2 linked regions of the Drosophila melanogaster genome follow. The protein of the gene in region 1 interacts with the protein of each later gene in a pairwise test. Each region holds a gene or a part of one and is shown in the gene's direction. Other genes may lie near its edges.

The links.
Region 2: the proteins of bab2 (region 1) and CG17141 interact in a two-hybrid assay, tested with the Drosophila melanogaster proteins (one large-scale study listed by BioGRID).

The regions. Positions count from the first base shown.
Region 1 is NT_037436.4:1,173,178-1,181,274, reverse strand, and holds the start of bab2 (bric a brac 2), read left to right. Parts: upstream 1-3,998; 5' UTR 3,999-4,294; intron 4,295-6,667; 5' UTR 6,668-6,777; coding exon 6,778-8,097. UniProt on the Drosophila melanogaster protein: Probably acts as a transcriptional regulator. Required for the specification of the tarsal segment. Also involved in antenna development.
Region 2 is NT_033777.3:22,742,803-22,749,531, reverse strand, and holds CG17141 (uncharacterized protein), read left to right. Parts: upstream 1-1,932; 5' UTR 1,933-2,005; coding exon 2,006-2,204; intron 2,205-2,259; coding exon 2,260-3,032; 3' UTR 3,033-3,086; downstream 3,087-6,729. Other genes in the region: rumi, read left to right, coding at 1-293; CG31139 (uncharacterized protein), read left to right, coding at 541-652, 708-1,789; HP1c (heterochromatin protein 1c), read right to left, coding at 3,102-3,815; vret (vreteno), read left to right, coding at 4,008-4,318, 4,382-4,792, 4,858-5,674, 5,737-5,921, 5,978-6,171, 6,226-6,383; CG6985 (uncharacterized protein), read right to left, coding at 6,535-6,606, 6,665-6,718.

The DNA.
Region 1 (8,097 bases):
AACATGGCGCAAAAATCATTAGAAACTCTTTTGTTTAGCCGGTGCACGTTTGCAGGCAGGCTCCACTCCAAAGTCGGGAAATAAAACGGCAGAGAAAAGTCCTGCGACGCAGGCATTTTCCTTTTCGCTGGGGATGAGAAGGCGGCAACGTCGCGTATGCGCAATTTTCTGAAAAAGAAGCCAGGGCGCTTTGGGGTGGCTACCCAATTGACCGAGGCCGAGGAAAGGACCTCCAGGGCTTCTGCCGGGTGGCTTTCGCAGGGTGGGTGCTGCTGATGTGGCTACTTCTTTTGTTGCCCCTCCGCTGGCGGTTGCTCCTGCCCAGGACCACACCCCTCCATCACTCCACTCCACCCACCCTCTGTCAATTTTGTGGTGCCCAGCTCCACAGCTTTTTTGCGTGGCTCGTTGGTTTTGCGTGATCCACACTTTAAGCAGCCTTAGCCGCAGTGGACGCCAGCAGAAATCCTTTTGAGGCGCGGCCAAAGGATGCACGGTGCGGGCTGCTTGCAGAATTGCAGCACTAACTAAGCAATTTGTTACCATATTCTACTTTAATTTGCTGTTAAGCCTCATTTTCGGTATATAACTTGTGTAGTTTTCCTAGTGTAAAGTGGTTTTATAAATTTTCCTTCGAGTGATTTTTTGCACACAGTATATTCATTCAATTTCAAACATTCTTGATGTTCTTTCTTATTTTTGCTTTCAGTCCCGATTCTTCAAGGCTTCTATTCCCCAGTATGAATTTCATCCTGTTTTCGTCTTGTTTTAAGTGACAGCTTGAAGCTTGAAGAGCCTTGGAGGAGCGTTCAAGAGCAGCTTGGAAAAACTGGCAAAGAATAAGGGGGTTTTGTCCACTTTAATGGATGGCCGCAGAAAGGCGCAAGGCTTTCCAGCCATTTTCCGGCGTCTCCCACATCCTTTTTCAGCTCCTTCTCACACGTTCTGGATCCTGCCGCTCCTGTTGACAGTGGACTACGGTAGGAGCCTCTTTACTTATATTTTCATTTGAAATCAATGCCCTCTTTCAGAGGGTCTATCGATCAATCATGGATGCTTTTGTTAAAATGATTTATGAAACACTTTTATCCCAGAAGATTTGAAGGAGTTGATAGACTCGTCTTCAATGTTGTATGCCATGTAAGGGATATCGATTAGCCATTTTGTTAAGGGTATTTGTGCAGCATCGACAATCTAATTTCGAACTCCGGCCTTCAGTGGCTTTGGCCATTTCCTGTCGCCATTTCTTTGGCAATCGCTTTCTCTTTTGACTGCAAGTGTGTGACGGTATTTTTTTTAAGCACTGGCTGCTGGTTGGCTGCAGATTTGAACTCTTTCGCTTTGCCAGCGGATGTCCTTTAAAGGTCCTTTAGCGTGGTTTCCACACCGTTGCCCCGGCCACTGCCCACACACTTTCTTCACGCTACTCCGATAATTTCACTTTGAATTTCCTCATCGCAGCCTTTCTGGAGAACGGAAGCGCGCTAGTTTCCTTTCCCAGCGGACCGGTTAGTTTTCCGCGTTCTTTTTCCAACAACTGTTGGCTAAGTCTTCGGACTTGTCAAAGCGGAAAGGGCCTTCATTTCCGCCTCGAAAGAGCCGCCGCGTTTCCCTTTTTCCAATTCGCTAGCTGACCAAAAAAATAGTAAAAAAATCGAGAAAGGAGAAATAGGTAGGCAAAGGTGTATGCTAAGCTAAGTTTTTAAAAATACTCCTCTGAAATTGTTTATTATTTAAGACACGATCGCGAATTATGCTTGCTTCTTTTAGTTCGACTTCTCAAACACAGAAATTTGTCGAGATTTTTTATTGAGAAACTTCGAAAATTTTAAATTTTTATTTTTATCCATCATCGAATCGTATTCTAAAACAAATTCTATCTAATTTTTATCAACAATAAAATGAAGTTTTTATTGATCAACACACTGCTACCTACGCAGGTACTAAATTTGATCTGCATAAATTATTTAAGTTTTTATTGCGGCCTTGAGACTCAAAAAATTAGATCGATATTAATAGTTTAAACATATTTGAAAAATCTTTTCATGTTACACATGTAGAAAACTACTACACATAATATGCAATCCTATAAATAAGACTCCTTAGTAATACATTCTTCCTTTTCTCCTTTCTACATAAGCATTGAAACATTCTGGTGACAGGTGACAGTATTAATCAGAGAAAAAGGCGTAGGATTTTCGAGAAAAGGATTCCCCCCTAAGATGTCAAGGCCCCGAGAAAAAAAGGGGAACCCTCAAAGAGTGGGGAGAATCCAAGCACCTTGCCGCCGATTCGCCAAACGAAGGCCGCAAAAAATAATTTGCGAATTGCCACGCGTTTTTTAGCCCATGTGTGCACCCCCGATTTATATATGCAGATATCTATATATAAAAGTATTTGGCCCCCACAGACGCACACACGTATATATTTATATATATATATATAGATATATTTCGAGTGGTCGGGCCAATCGGCGTCGAGCACGAAGTTCGCAGAGGCTCGTGGAGGCGCCCGAATGCCAAAAAGGTCAAAAAGAGAGAGGGCAAATGGAATAAAATATGCAAAATATACAAAATAGCACACACAAATACAGCGCACACGGGCACACGCACACACAGGCAAACGCAAAACAAAGGGGGATTTATTTTAGTTGTTGTTATTGGCTGCGCAAAAAACAATAACAACGGCCTATAGATGCTGCAATAGCAGCAACAACAACTCCTATTAAAAATGCGTTTCCATAGGCGCCGCCTACCGCGTGACGTCACTAGCTGCACTTGCTGCGTCTTTGCCTCCTTTTCTTTCAGCTTTTCCTCGTACTCTTTTCTTTTTTGCTCTTTTCGGTTGCCACCTCCAAGTTTTCGTTTTCGCGGGGCAGCATGGGGAAGAGGAAGCAGAGAAGAGAGTGCAGCCGAAGCTTTTCGTTTGTTTTCGCTCGTCTTTCAGCCGTTTTTTTGTTGTTGCTCTGCTCCCCTTCTTCATGCTGGCTTGTGTGTGCGTGTGTAGGAGCAAGCAGCTTGCTGTCCCACTCGCACTCGCGCCCTCTTACGGCACTTTTAGGGGCGTGGCCAAGTTGTGAGTGTGTTGCTGTCGCCACTTTTTCTCTGCTCTTTTTTGCCATAGTTTCTGTGCCTAAGCAGCAAAAGCAACAACAAGGAGGTTAAGGATGATGCAGAAGAAGAAGAAAGAGGGTTGGCAACTATTTTGAAACACTTTCTTACTGGACATTGGCCAGTTTCTCTTTCTTGCCCCTGCTGTTGCTGTTGTTGTTGCTGCTGCAGCTAGGTTGCAAGTTGCTGTTGCTATTCTCTTCAAGTTGCAGGTGTAGGCTGCAATTTTTTCGCGACCTTAGCATGCTGCTTTGGCGATTTGTTAAGATTTTTGCGATTTATTGGTAAGCATGGCATTTATATAAATAAGAGAACTTATTTCAATAAGTATTCAAACTAATTATAATAAATATGATTCGTTTTTAATTGTAAATGAAGTATGTTGATATAGTAAAAACTACTTTCGCAAATTTATGTGACAACGAAAAAAAAAAGAAACGTTGGGTCTTAGACAATTATATAAAAATCGTAGTGAAATGTATGTTTTTTATGATGAGAAATATGATTCGAATAAAAAACTATTAATCTGTACTAAAATGTATAAAAAAATAACAAAACAATTGCATTCCAGATTAATAAAATATGTTCTCCTCTTATACAATCACGATTTCATTTTAATTATAATTTCTAACATTTCTAAAAATTTCGAAATTTTCAATTTTTTTTCAAGCAAGATCTCTGAAAATTCAAAACAAAGAAAGCAAAGAGCACACTTACTTTCGCTCTTAAACCGCCGCTCTGTCGATTTCCCAATTCGCCGCAAAAACCGGAAAACACCACGCCGGCGCTCTCATTCGCCGCGAGAGAGCGGGCAGCGCAGCTGACGTCGGCAGCGCGGCGTCGAGTTTCATTCAATTTTTTGAAATTCAGTTCGTTTATCTGTGAGATTCAGTTCGTATCTGACTTTCGGCGTGAGTGGAGTGCAGCGTTTGTTTTTACGGCCACTGAAAGCCAGCAACAACAACAATAATACCCACAACAACAACAACAACGACAGAAGCGGCAGCAAAGACAGCAAAGCAAAAGCAACAACAAGTGACGTGCAACAACGACAAGCAGAACAGCATGTGTTGCATGCAGTGAACAAAACAAACAGAACATAAACACAAGTATTCTGTTAATATTTAATAAAACAAGAAAGTGAACTAAAAGTGAACCCATCGAGTGAATACCAGACGAAAAATGTATGTGTGCGTTGATTATTATATTAATTATGGTGCTTTATTTATGACAAATGACTGGGCTGCAATGAAAATCGATTTTATACCTCGACCATGTACTATTCTACATAAGTTATCCAGTGGAAATGCCATCCCCGCCAGACCCCCTCGCACATTTTCCGCGCATTTTCCTTGGCGCTACCAAAGAAATTGTAATTTATTAATTTATAACACAAGCCACCCAGCGAAAAGGTCGTAAAAAGCAATGTTGCTTGGTCGTTTTTGGGCGCCCAGGAAAATTAAGAAGAAAACCCACTCGAAGGAGCAACTTTTCCTACAGCTCCTGCCTTTCCACAGCTCCCGCTTTTCCGAGTGGGTGGCACGCGCCAAAAACAGTTTGTAAACATTTTGCACACAGCGAAAGCCGAGCGAAACACGAGAAAATCCAGACTGTAATTTATTACTTGCTGCATAAATAATAAATAAGCGTTAATAAATAAATACAATATGCAATATATAAATGTGTCCGAGCGCCCGCACACCGCCCCCCCGTTTCTCAACGTGTATTTGTGTTCGTTTTTGTGTGCGGGCGGGCCCACTTTAAGGATACAAAACCTCGAGACTGAATTAAATAAATAAATACAGAAATAATAAATAAATAAAGTGCCCAGCTTGCCTGCTGTTTTATTTTTTTGGCTGCCAACAGCTGCGCTTGCTATAAATAATTAAACGAAAATAATATATTACGAGGAAGCAGGAAAGAAGAGTGTGGAAAGGCAAGAAATCAGGGAGTTTGAAGTATTTAGGATTTCGAGTCAGATACTTGTCAGCAGTTATAATTGTATATGAAGGAAAAAATTAGTTTTTTGCTTCCACATTCACGAAAAACTGAAACTCATTCTAAAACATAATTTTGAATTTATTTAAGGCCAGGCTTTGGTAATAAATAAATGAAAATCTTGAATAATCATAAAATCAGCTTTGATGTGTCGACTTTGGAGATGTGCGAATCTTCTGCATTTGGCAATTTACTTATTTATTTATTTGAGGCCGAGTTTTTCCCAAGAATCATCAAATTTAATGCGAGCAGCCACGATAAAAGCAACAAACATGAATAAATAAGGGGAATAACAAAAGGCGGAGCGCGGCCATAACAATAAACCAAAAGTTGCCAAGAGCAGCAGGAGTAGGAAGAGGAGTAGGACCGATTTTCCTCCGCAGCCCACAGTTCGGGAAACTCTGAGGATTCGGGGTAGCTCATCAGCTCCTCAATTCTCCAGCTGTTCAGCTCTTCAGCTCCCTCGACGATGAGTCCATGGATTCGTATCCGGATCCAGAACAACAATAAAATAAACAAAAATAATAACTGTGGACGGCGCCGAGGAGCTGCGGCCGCAAGATTTAATTGGAATGAAATAATAATAAACATAAAAAGTAGCAAGAAGAAGTATTATAATAACAATAATAATAAATATAATTAAATTTCATGGCGGCAGCAACTTTCCACCCCGACAAAAACGACCCAAGCGAACCGAGCCCAAGTGTGCTGCACAAACACACATAAATTAAAATTATACAAAATATTTAAATAAATATAATTACTTTGGGCCCACTCTCTCCGAGCTCTGCCATAAATAATAATATTTAATTAAATATAAATCTATAGACGGGCGCTGTGCGCATGCAAGTGTATCCAGAGACAACAATACAAAATAAGCAATAATCGCGCGCACACACTTACAAAGCCGCTATATACGCATCCATATATAAATATATATGTATATGCATATATACAATATATATATGTATGTATATAGATATGTGCGTATAAATACAACAATGAGCGGCGGAGACTACGAATAATTGCAGCTCAGTAATATAAATTAAGCCAAATTAAACATAAATAAATGTGTGCTTAGCTTTTAGCTAATAAAGCACATTTCTGGCCTGGGCGTTACAGTGGGTGGGGTTGGGTGGTGGGTGGTGGGTGGCGATTGTTCGGCTGGTGGCTGGCAAATACTAAACATAAATTAATAGAAATTCATGGAAATTTCGACTGGCAGGGAGATGGGGCAAGATTAATAGGCTTATTTAATAGAGTTATGACTAAGAGCACAAATGTGCCCGCTGATTCAGCTTGATGTGAATAAAACACTTGCCACGTTCGTTATCGTTATAGATCCCAAAATATATTCGATTGGCAGGGGGAATAATGTGGCAGACAAGATAAAGCCATATTATAGCCAGCATTCTCTTTGATTGGCAGTTAAATATCTTATTCCGAGTTAATTGAAACAAATTAAATGTATACAAGACTTTCATACTAGCTGTCCATATATTGTATGTTACATATGTCAATCCCGTTCGCACAATCATGTGAGTTTTCCTCTCTTTCAGCTTTGAACTGCTCCCAGGAAAAGTTCTCGTTTCGCCCCCGAAAATGTGTTAGAAATCCCGCAGAAAACCTGCAAGACAACCGATAAGAAGGAAAACTCTATAACAGCACCATGGACATGACCAAACAGATTGTGGACTTTGAAATAAAGTCGGAACTGATCGGCGAAATCGATCAGTTCGAGGCGAGTGACTACACAATGGCTCCACCGGAAGAGCCTAAGATGGTGGAAGAGTCCCCCCAGTTGGGTCATCTAGAGGACCAGAACAGAAAGTACTCACCCGAAAGGGAGGTTGAACCCACTCTGCAGGATCCAAGTGAGGTGGTTGATCAAATGCAAAAAGATACGGAGAGCGTTGGAGAAGTCAAGTCACCCGAGAAGGATGTGGAAACGGAGCTGGTGAAGTCCAAGGCGAGTCCGATGAACGACCAAGCTTTGACTCCCCCACCACGACCTCTGACCTCCAGTGAAGTGGTGGGTCTCCGGGATCCCGAACATACCGAGCTGCGCATGTGCCTGGAGGCCAAGAAGTCGCGCTCCCTACCAGTTTCCCCACAGCCTCAACCAAATCTTAAGCTAGCCGGATCGGCGCTCTTTGAATTCGGTCAGAGATCCTCTCCCGTGGAGACCAAGATCAAAACCAATCCAGAGACAAAACCGCCGAGGCGCAAAATAGTTCCTCCCAGCGGCGAGGGGCAGCAGTTCTGCCTGAGGTGGAACAACTATCAGTCTAACCTGACCAATGTCTTTGACGAACTCCTTCAGAGCGAGTCCTTCGTGGACGTGACCTTGTCCTGCGAAGGCCACTCGATCAAGGCACACAAGATGGTGCTATCCGCCTGCTCACCCTACTTCCAGGCCCTGTTCTACGACAATCCCTGCCAGCACCCCATCATCATCATGCGGGACGTCAGCTGGTCCGACCTGAAGGCCCTGGTGGAGTTCATGTACAAGGGGGAGATCAACGTCTGCCAGGATCAGATAAACCCCCTGCTCAAAGTGGCCGAAACCCTGAAGATCAGGGGTCTGGCGGAGGTCAGTGCGGGCAGGGGCGAGGGAGGCGCCTCCGCACTTCCCATGTCCGCCTTCGACGATGAGGACGAGGAGGAGGAACTGGCCTCGGCCACTGCAATTCTGCAGCAGGACGGTGATGCCGATCCCGATGAGGAGATGAAGGCCAAGAGGCCCAGACTGCTGCCCGAGGGAGTCTTGGACTTGAATCAGCGACAAAGGAAGCGGTCCAGGGATGGCAGCTACGCCACTCCAAGTCCATCCCTTCAGGGCGGAGAGTCCGAGATCTCGGAGAGGGGCTCATCCGGCACTCCGGGACAGAGCCAGAGCCAACCCCTGGCCATGACCACCTCCACCATTGTGCGCAATCCCTTCGCCTCCCCCAATCCTCAGACCTTGGAGGGCAGGAACAGCGCCATG
Region 2 (6,729 bases), on another chromosome or scaffold:
AGTGGCAGGAGTTCTTCTACGACCAACTAAAGCCCTGGGTGCACTATGTGCCGCTCAAGAGCTACCCCAGTCAGCAGGAGTACGAGCACATCTTGTCCTTTTTCAAGAAAAACGATGCGCTGGCCCAGGAGATCGCTCAGCGTGGATACGACTTCATCTGGGAGCATTTGCGCATGAAGGACATCAAGTGCTATTGGCGCAAGCTGCTCAAGCGATATGTGAAGCTGCTGCAATACGAGGTTAAGCCGGAGGATCAACTTATTTACATAGGGCCTAAAAAGGATGAGCTGTAGCGAAATGAAATGTTATTGTGTTTAAGCATTTCTCATTTTGTATTAAGTTGCTTAGAGCAGCGTGAATCTCTCTGTCCGCATTCCATGCATTTTTGATGTCCAAGATTTAGAGAACAACTCGAATATTTTCCTATTTATATATATAGCATTTATACAATCTTTATAACAATCGAAAGCCATTTGTTTTAAGACTCAAAGTTTAAAATATATTTGGAAGAAATATGTAAATTCTCTTTAAATTTTAATTATGACCCAGCCAAGGATATGCTTTTTAGTTGGAGCCCTAATCCTCTCCTGCACTTGCGTTTCGTGCTCCAAGGACAAATGCGCTGTCAACGAACACAACCCAAACTCAAATAGTTAACTATATAGAATATAATATAATATAACCTTTTCAAGATTTGTATCCTTCAGCCAGCTACGACTTTGTGCCGCACATCCTGCACGCCCTGGCGATCCATCGACCCTGCGTAATCGGTGATCCGAAATGCCTCTGCCATGTGGCGACCATTCAAAGGGATTTGGAACCGTATGTGGACAAGGGGATTACACCTGAGATGATGGCGCAATCCAAACGATTGGGCACTTTTTACCAGATAATCCGTGGACGCATCTATCGCCAGCAGAAGTGCCTGCATCCCAAGCGATGTGCCGATGTGGAGGATCTGCTCTTGGACATGGCCAGTGGTGTGGCAGACCTGGAATTCGTTCTCAATGTGCGCGACTGGCCGCAGGTGCACTTCCTATCCGGCCTAAGTGGTCCGGTGTTTTCCTATTCCATCACGAATCGCCACCTGGACATCATGTACCCAGCATGGTCGTTTTGGACCACCACGGGACCCATCCTGCAGCACTATCCCCACGGTGTGGGTCGCTGGGACTGGATGCGAAAACATTTGGTGGCCAGGGCGTCGGAGTTGCCGTGGAGTGCCAAGCGCGCTATTGGTTTCTTTAGGGGCTCACGATCCTCGCCAGAACGCGATAGTCTAGTCAGGCTCTCGCAAAGGCGTCCAGACCTGGTTGATGCCCAGTACACGATACTAGCGACGGATGCCGATCCCGTCGAGAAGATGCCTTTGGTCGAGCACTGCCAATTTAAGTATCTGTTCAATTTTCGCGGTGTGGCCGCCAGTTTCCGGCTGCGGCACATACTGCTCTGCCGCTCGCTGGTACTTCATGTTGGCGACCAGTGGCAGGAGTTCTTCTACAGCCAACTGAAACCCTGGGTGCATTACGTTCCCGTGGCCAGCGACGCCGATGTGGATGAGCTGGCGGAGTTGATTCTATATCTGCGCGAGCACGACGATCTGGCGGAGGAGATTGCGGAACGGGGACAGCAGTTCATTTGGCTCCACCTCCGAATGGAGGATGTGCAGTGCTATTGGAGTAAGATGCTCCAGGAATACGCAAAGTTGCTCACTTATAAAGTGCAACGGGAGCCGGGACTTCTGGAGGTATCCAACAAGAAAGCGGTGCAGCTGTACCGCGGAAAATAAACTTAGTATTTACAATCTTAGTTTTGTACCAAAAAATAAAAATCTGTATAATTAATTTTAAATTCAAATTTAAATCAGCCAGTGCTGCCACACCCAACAGCCAACTCCCCCCACTAGTGTGACCACACACAATCCTGGGTCAATTGTTACGTCACTGGCCAACAGCTGTTTGAAAGTTTTGATTTGGATTCGCTAGCATTACATGGATTCCGCATCATGGCAGCGCAGCTGAATCCATTCCGCAATGCCTTCCGGCTGCCGTCCAAGCAGCGCATCAACTGGTTTCCCGGCCACATGACCAAGGGTATGCGGCAAATTCAGCAAAAACTACGAAATGTAGACTGCATAGTCGAGATTCACGATGCACGCATCCCATTGGCGGGCAGAAACTCCCAGTTCTTTGACACAATCACCGGTGAGTACGTTTACAACCATAAGCTGCCACTTAATACGGGACTCATATTCCCCAGGAAGTGGTGTTAAACCGCATATTCTGGTGCTGAACAAAGTCGATCTGCTGGGCGCCAAACAGCAGAAGAGCGTGCTCCAGCAGCTGAGGAGACAGCAGCCCGAACTGCAGCACATCCTGTTCACCAACTGCAAGGATCAGCGCAACAACGGCGTGCTGGACATCCTGCCCCTGGCAACGCGCCTCGTGAGCGAGAGCAGTCGCTTCAATCGCACCCAAGCTGCCGAGCACAATCTGATGATCATCGGCGTGCCCAATGTGGGCAAGAGTTCCGTGATCAATGTGCTGCGAAATGTGCATCTCAAGAAGAAGAGCGCCGCACGCGTGGGTGCCGAGGCGGGTATAACTCGATCCGTCGGCGAACGCATCAAAATCCAAGAGAATCCGCCTGTTTACATGATCGACACACCCGGCATCCTCCAGCCCTCCATTAAGGATGATGAAATGGGCATGAAACTGGCCCTGGTGGGCTGCCTTCCCGATCATATTGTGGGCGAGGATCTGATAGCCGACTATCTGCTGTACTGGCTGAATAGCCACCGCAAATACGACTACGTGGAGATGCTAAAGCTCAGCTCCGGACCCAGTGACGACATCAGCGCCGTGCTGGCGGAGTACGCTCATCGGGAGGAGCTATTCCACAAGGTCAAGCAGTACGACGGACGCGTGGAGGTGATGACAAATTTATTGGCGGCCGCGCGAAAGTTCATTCACTTCTTTCGCTCCGGCCAGTTGGGTCACATGAATCTGGACGAACCCAGTGGTTTCAGATAGCTATACATATGTATGAATTAAACTTAGGGGCTTAGATTAAAGACTGAACAGTCGATTCTGCTCGCGTCCTTATTGATTTTCCGCCATGGGCACATCGATGGCAATGTCGCCAACGCCGGGCACGGGAATCGAGTACGAAACACTAGCCAAATCGTCGGTATCATTGGCTAGATCCATGGGTGCATGGTGCTGCGGCGCCTGGTCCACCTGTGGCGCGATTCCACCAAGATGTCCAGCCAACTCAGCGGACTGATCCACCTCCGGCGGCACTTCGACGGGCGCACTGCTAATGTGCGGATAACTGGTGCGCGAGGCCGCCAAACGCAGCTCCTCCGGCACGCCCTTCATTCGCATCGCAATGTGACGGGAGTAAGGTGCCATCTTCTGGAAATAGTCAATCAGCATTTGCGGATCCTTCTCCACGATCTGTGCCGATGGCACCAAGTCGAACTCGTCGCAGAACTGCCAGCGCACCAGATACTTGATGTCGCCCGTCACATCCGTTGCGCCCACGATCTCGGCCAGCTCCAAGCCGCGCTCGTAGCCGCGCAGCTTCTGGATCTCTTCGCACTTGGGTTTCTTCTCGCCGCGCTTCTTGGACTTGGCGCGCGACTCCTCGAATTTCTGGATGAGATTCGGGCAATCGCAGTTCTCCTCGGGCTCCCAGGTGTTGTCCGCCGACGTGTAGCCACGCCACTTGATGTAGTACTCAACCTTGCCTTCGCTGGTAATGCGCTTGTCCATGATGCGCTCCACCACGAAGTTGGGCTCGTTTTTAACCATTTTTTATTGTGTTTTTACAAGATTGTTTACAATATTTAAAATCGGCTTGGTTTTTTTCACTAGTGCCAGTGTGACCGTTTGCTGACTTCAACAACAGTTACAATAGCAACATACTTCTGACAGCATAGAAAACGGTCACACTCGCACGCGCTTGCAATTCGAATTCAGGTGAAATTTTAAAGCTCAGGTGCAATGGAATCCGAATCCTCGCAGGATGATTGGTCCGCATTCGATCCAATGTCCAGGGAATACTATGACCAAGTGGGCAACCGTTACACTAACGAGTCTGGCCAGAAACTAATCATGGAAGCCCCGCTGCCGCCAAAGGACGAAAAGGAGCAACGTGCCACCAGGCAGGCGAAGTATCCATACTTGGTGGTTCCAAAAAGCAGTCCCTATGTGACCGAAAAGATGCTAATCAACTTCTTCGGTCGGGCGCTCATCAAGGAGATGGAGTTCCGCCGCTTGTCACGCGTATACTTTGTCTACTTTGAAAATATCGCGTGAGTTTCTTCAAGCACTTTCGCAGGTCATTCAATATTTCGAGCGTATAATCCTTTTTCCAGATCCCTGGAGACAGCGCAACAGCGGGTGCAGCGTTACCCGAACCTGATCAAGTGCATCACTGGTCGCCCGCAAAAGGAGCGGGAAATCACCAGCGATCCGGTGACTTCCACTGAGCCAATGCCAACACCAGGCCCAGCAATTTCGGCCACTGAACGTACGCCAGTGAATCACAACAGAGAGGTTCCGATCTCGACCGGAGGACAAAATCATCCGGAGTTCTTCCGGCCACCGCTGGTCACCAAAGATGATTACAAAAGAGGTTCATTGTTGGCCACCAACGACCCCATTCAACGCTATCTCAATGTAAAGTACGAATTCGCACTGGAGCGCCATGATATCTACAAGCTTAAGGATGAGACCAGAATCCCGCAGGTCGTTCTGCACTTTCGTTCGGGCAGAACGATTCCTTTGTTAGTATAGCCACCTGGTCACGTGCCCTTGATTAGCTAACGAGTATAGTTTCTGCATCACTCAGGTCAACGGTTGCTGTCACCGAAGAGGATAAAACTAAAAGCCTGCTGGAAGACGGCGTCAGCAAGTGCGTGGTTTGTCAAAACTGGACAGACACTTTCTGCAAGCTGTGCAAAATGCCCTTCTGCAATGCCTCCTGTTTCGCCGATGTGGCAGAGCAGCATAAGCAAGCTTGCGGCAAGGGTGAGATACTTAACCTTGACGAAAAGGTGGGCCGGAAGTACCCCAAACCCGGCTTGCCGCCGTCTGGATCTAAAGTGAGAATTACTGCATTCGAGCAGACTAACGTGGTCTATGTGCGCTCGGCGGACATTCAGATTGACATCGCCTATTATACAGTTCTCACGGAGGTAATGATGCTGGGCAAAGATGCCTCCAAACTGCAGAGTACGCCAGTCTGCGGACAAATTGTGCTCTACAAGTTCGAGGGACATATGTCGCGCGCCATGGTGCTAAACGTGGATAATATCAAGGAAATCTATGTAGTGTTCATTGATTTCGGAAGTGTTGAAGTCACGCAGCTGGAAAGACTGTATGAATGCAGTTCGTATTTAGCTGGTTTGACCTGCTATCCCGTAGCCGTTAAATTACGCGGAGTTCCCAGGCGCTTTGTGGGTCCCAACATAAGGGAAGTCATGTACGAACTCGACCAGTCCCTAGTTTTTAATATCAAGTACTCGTCACGTGAGTACGATACCAGCAAGGGCATGCAGGTCGTGGTGATGACCGAGATCGATATTAATAGGAGCCTCAACCGCCTTTTCAAGACCATCCTAACTCCTGTTGAGCCGTCTGTCTCGGACTTGGGATACAAAGAGGACGTAAGCCAGAACTTAAAAAAACATCAAGTACACAGTTGTCATTTGCATTTATTCGGTTTCAGTGTCTTCCATACATTCCCTTGCACTGCGGAAAGAACATAAATGTAGTGGTAATGGACAACACATTCATCCAGTGCGGCTTTATCTACTGCACCTCCATAGATCTGGCTTACGAAGTCACCAAAATGCAGCGAGACATACAGGAGTATGGTGAAAAGATTGCCAAGTGCGCAACCTACGCACCGCCGTAAAGTTACTCGCCGTTTTCTTTTGTCCATTTAACTAAAGCGCTCTTTCATTTAGGATAAATGAGCTTTGCATAGCTAAGTACGAAGGCAAATGGCGTCGAGGTCTCTCTGTGGAGTTAGTAGGAGATGGTTATCCCAGCATTTTGTTCATTGACTACGGAAACATAGTGCCAACACATGTCACCGACATACGTCCCTATCCGCCGCAGTTTATCTTCCCTATAATGACCACACAGTTGGATTTAATTGGTAATTAGGCTCTCCAAAGATAATTATATTATTTATATGACTCGATTTTCGTAGGAGTGCCTGAGAAGCCCACCGATGAGCAGATCAAATGGCTGGATAAAAATTATCCCATTGGGTCCGTTATCACCTGCAGCGAAATCACTTTCGACGAGGAAACAAATAGCTACTCCACTCGCATTGAAAAACTGCAGGAGTTCTTAAGTTTGGACTAAGTTCTCAAAAGGTTGATTCCGCGAAATAGTTCAGAACTAATTATGGCCAAAAAAAAGCACAAATCTTCCAGGTTAACTCAACTGCTAAGCATTTAGTTCAACAAAATAATTTTGTTTACATTTATATTCTTGAAGTTAACGTTTTGTTTGTTTAAGTTTTTACTCTCACTTTTCTTGAATAAACCAGTTGAATACAATCCAGACTATCCGATATAGCAGTTTCCTGTAAGGTCACATTGATTTACGCAATTTAAGTTAGTAAAATGTAATACAAATCTCACCTCAAAGAAAACACGGTCAAAAGGTGGCTCACTTTTGGTCCAGTCCGCTAGATTCTATAGGTTAT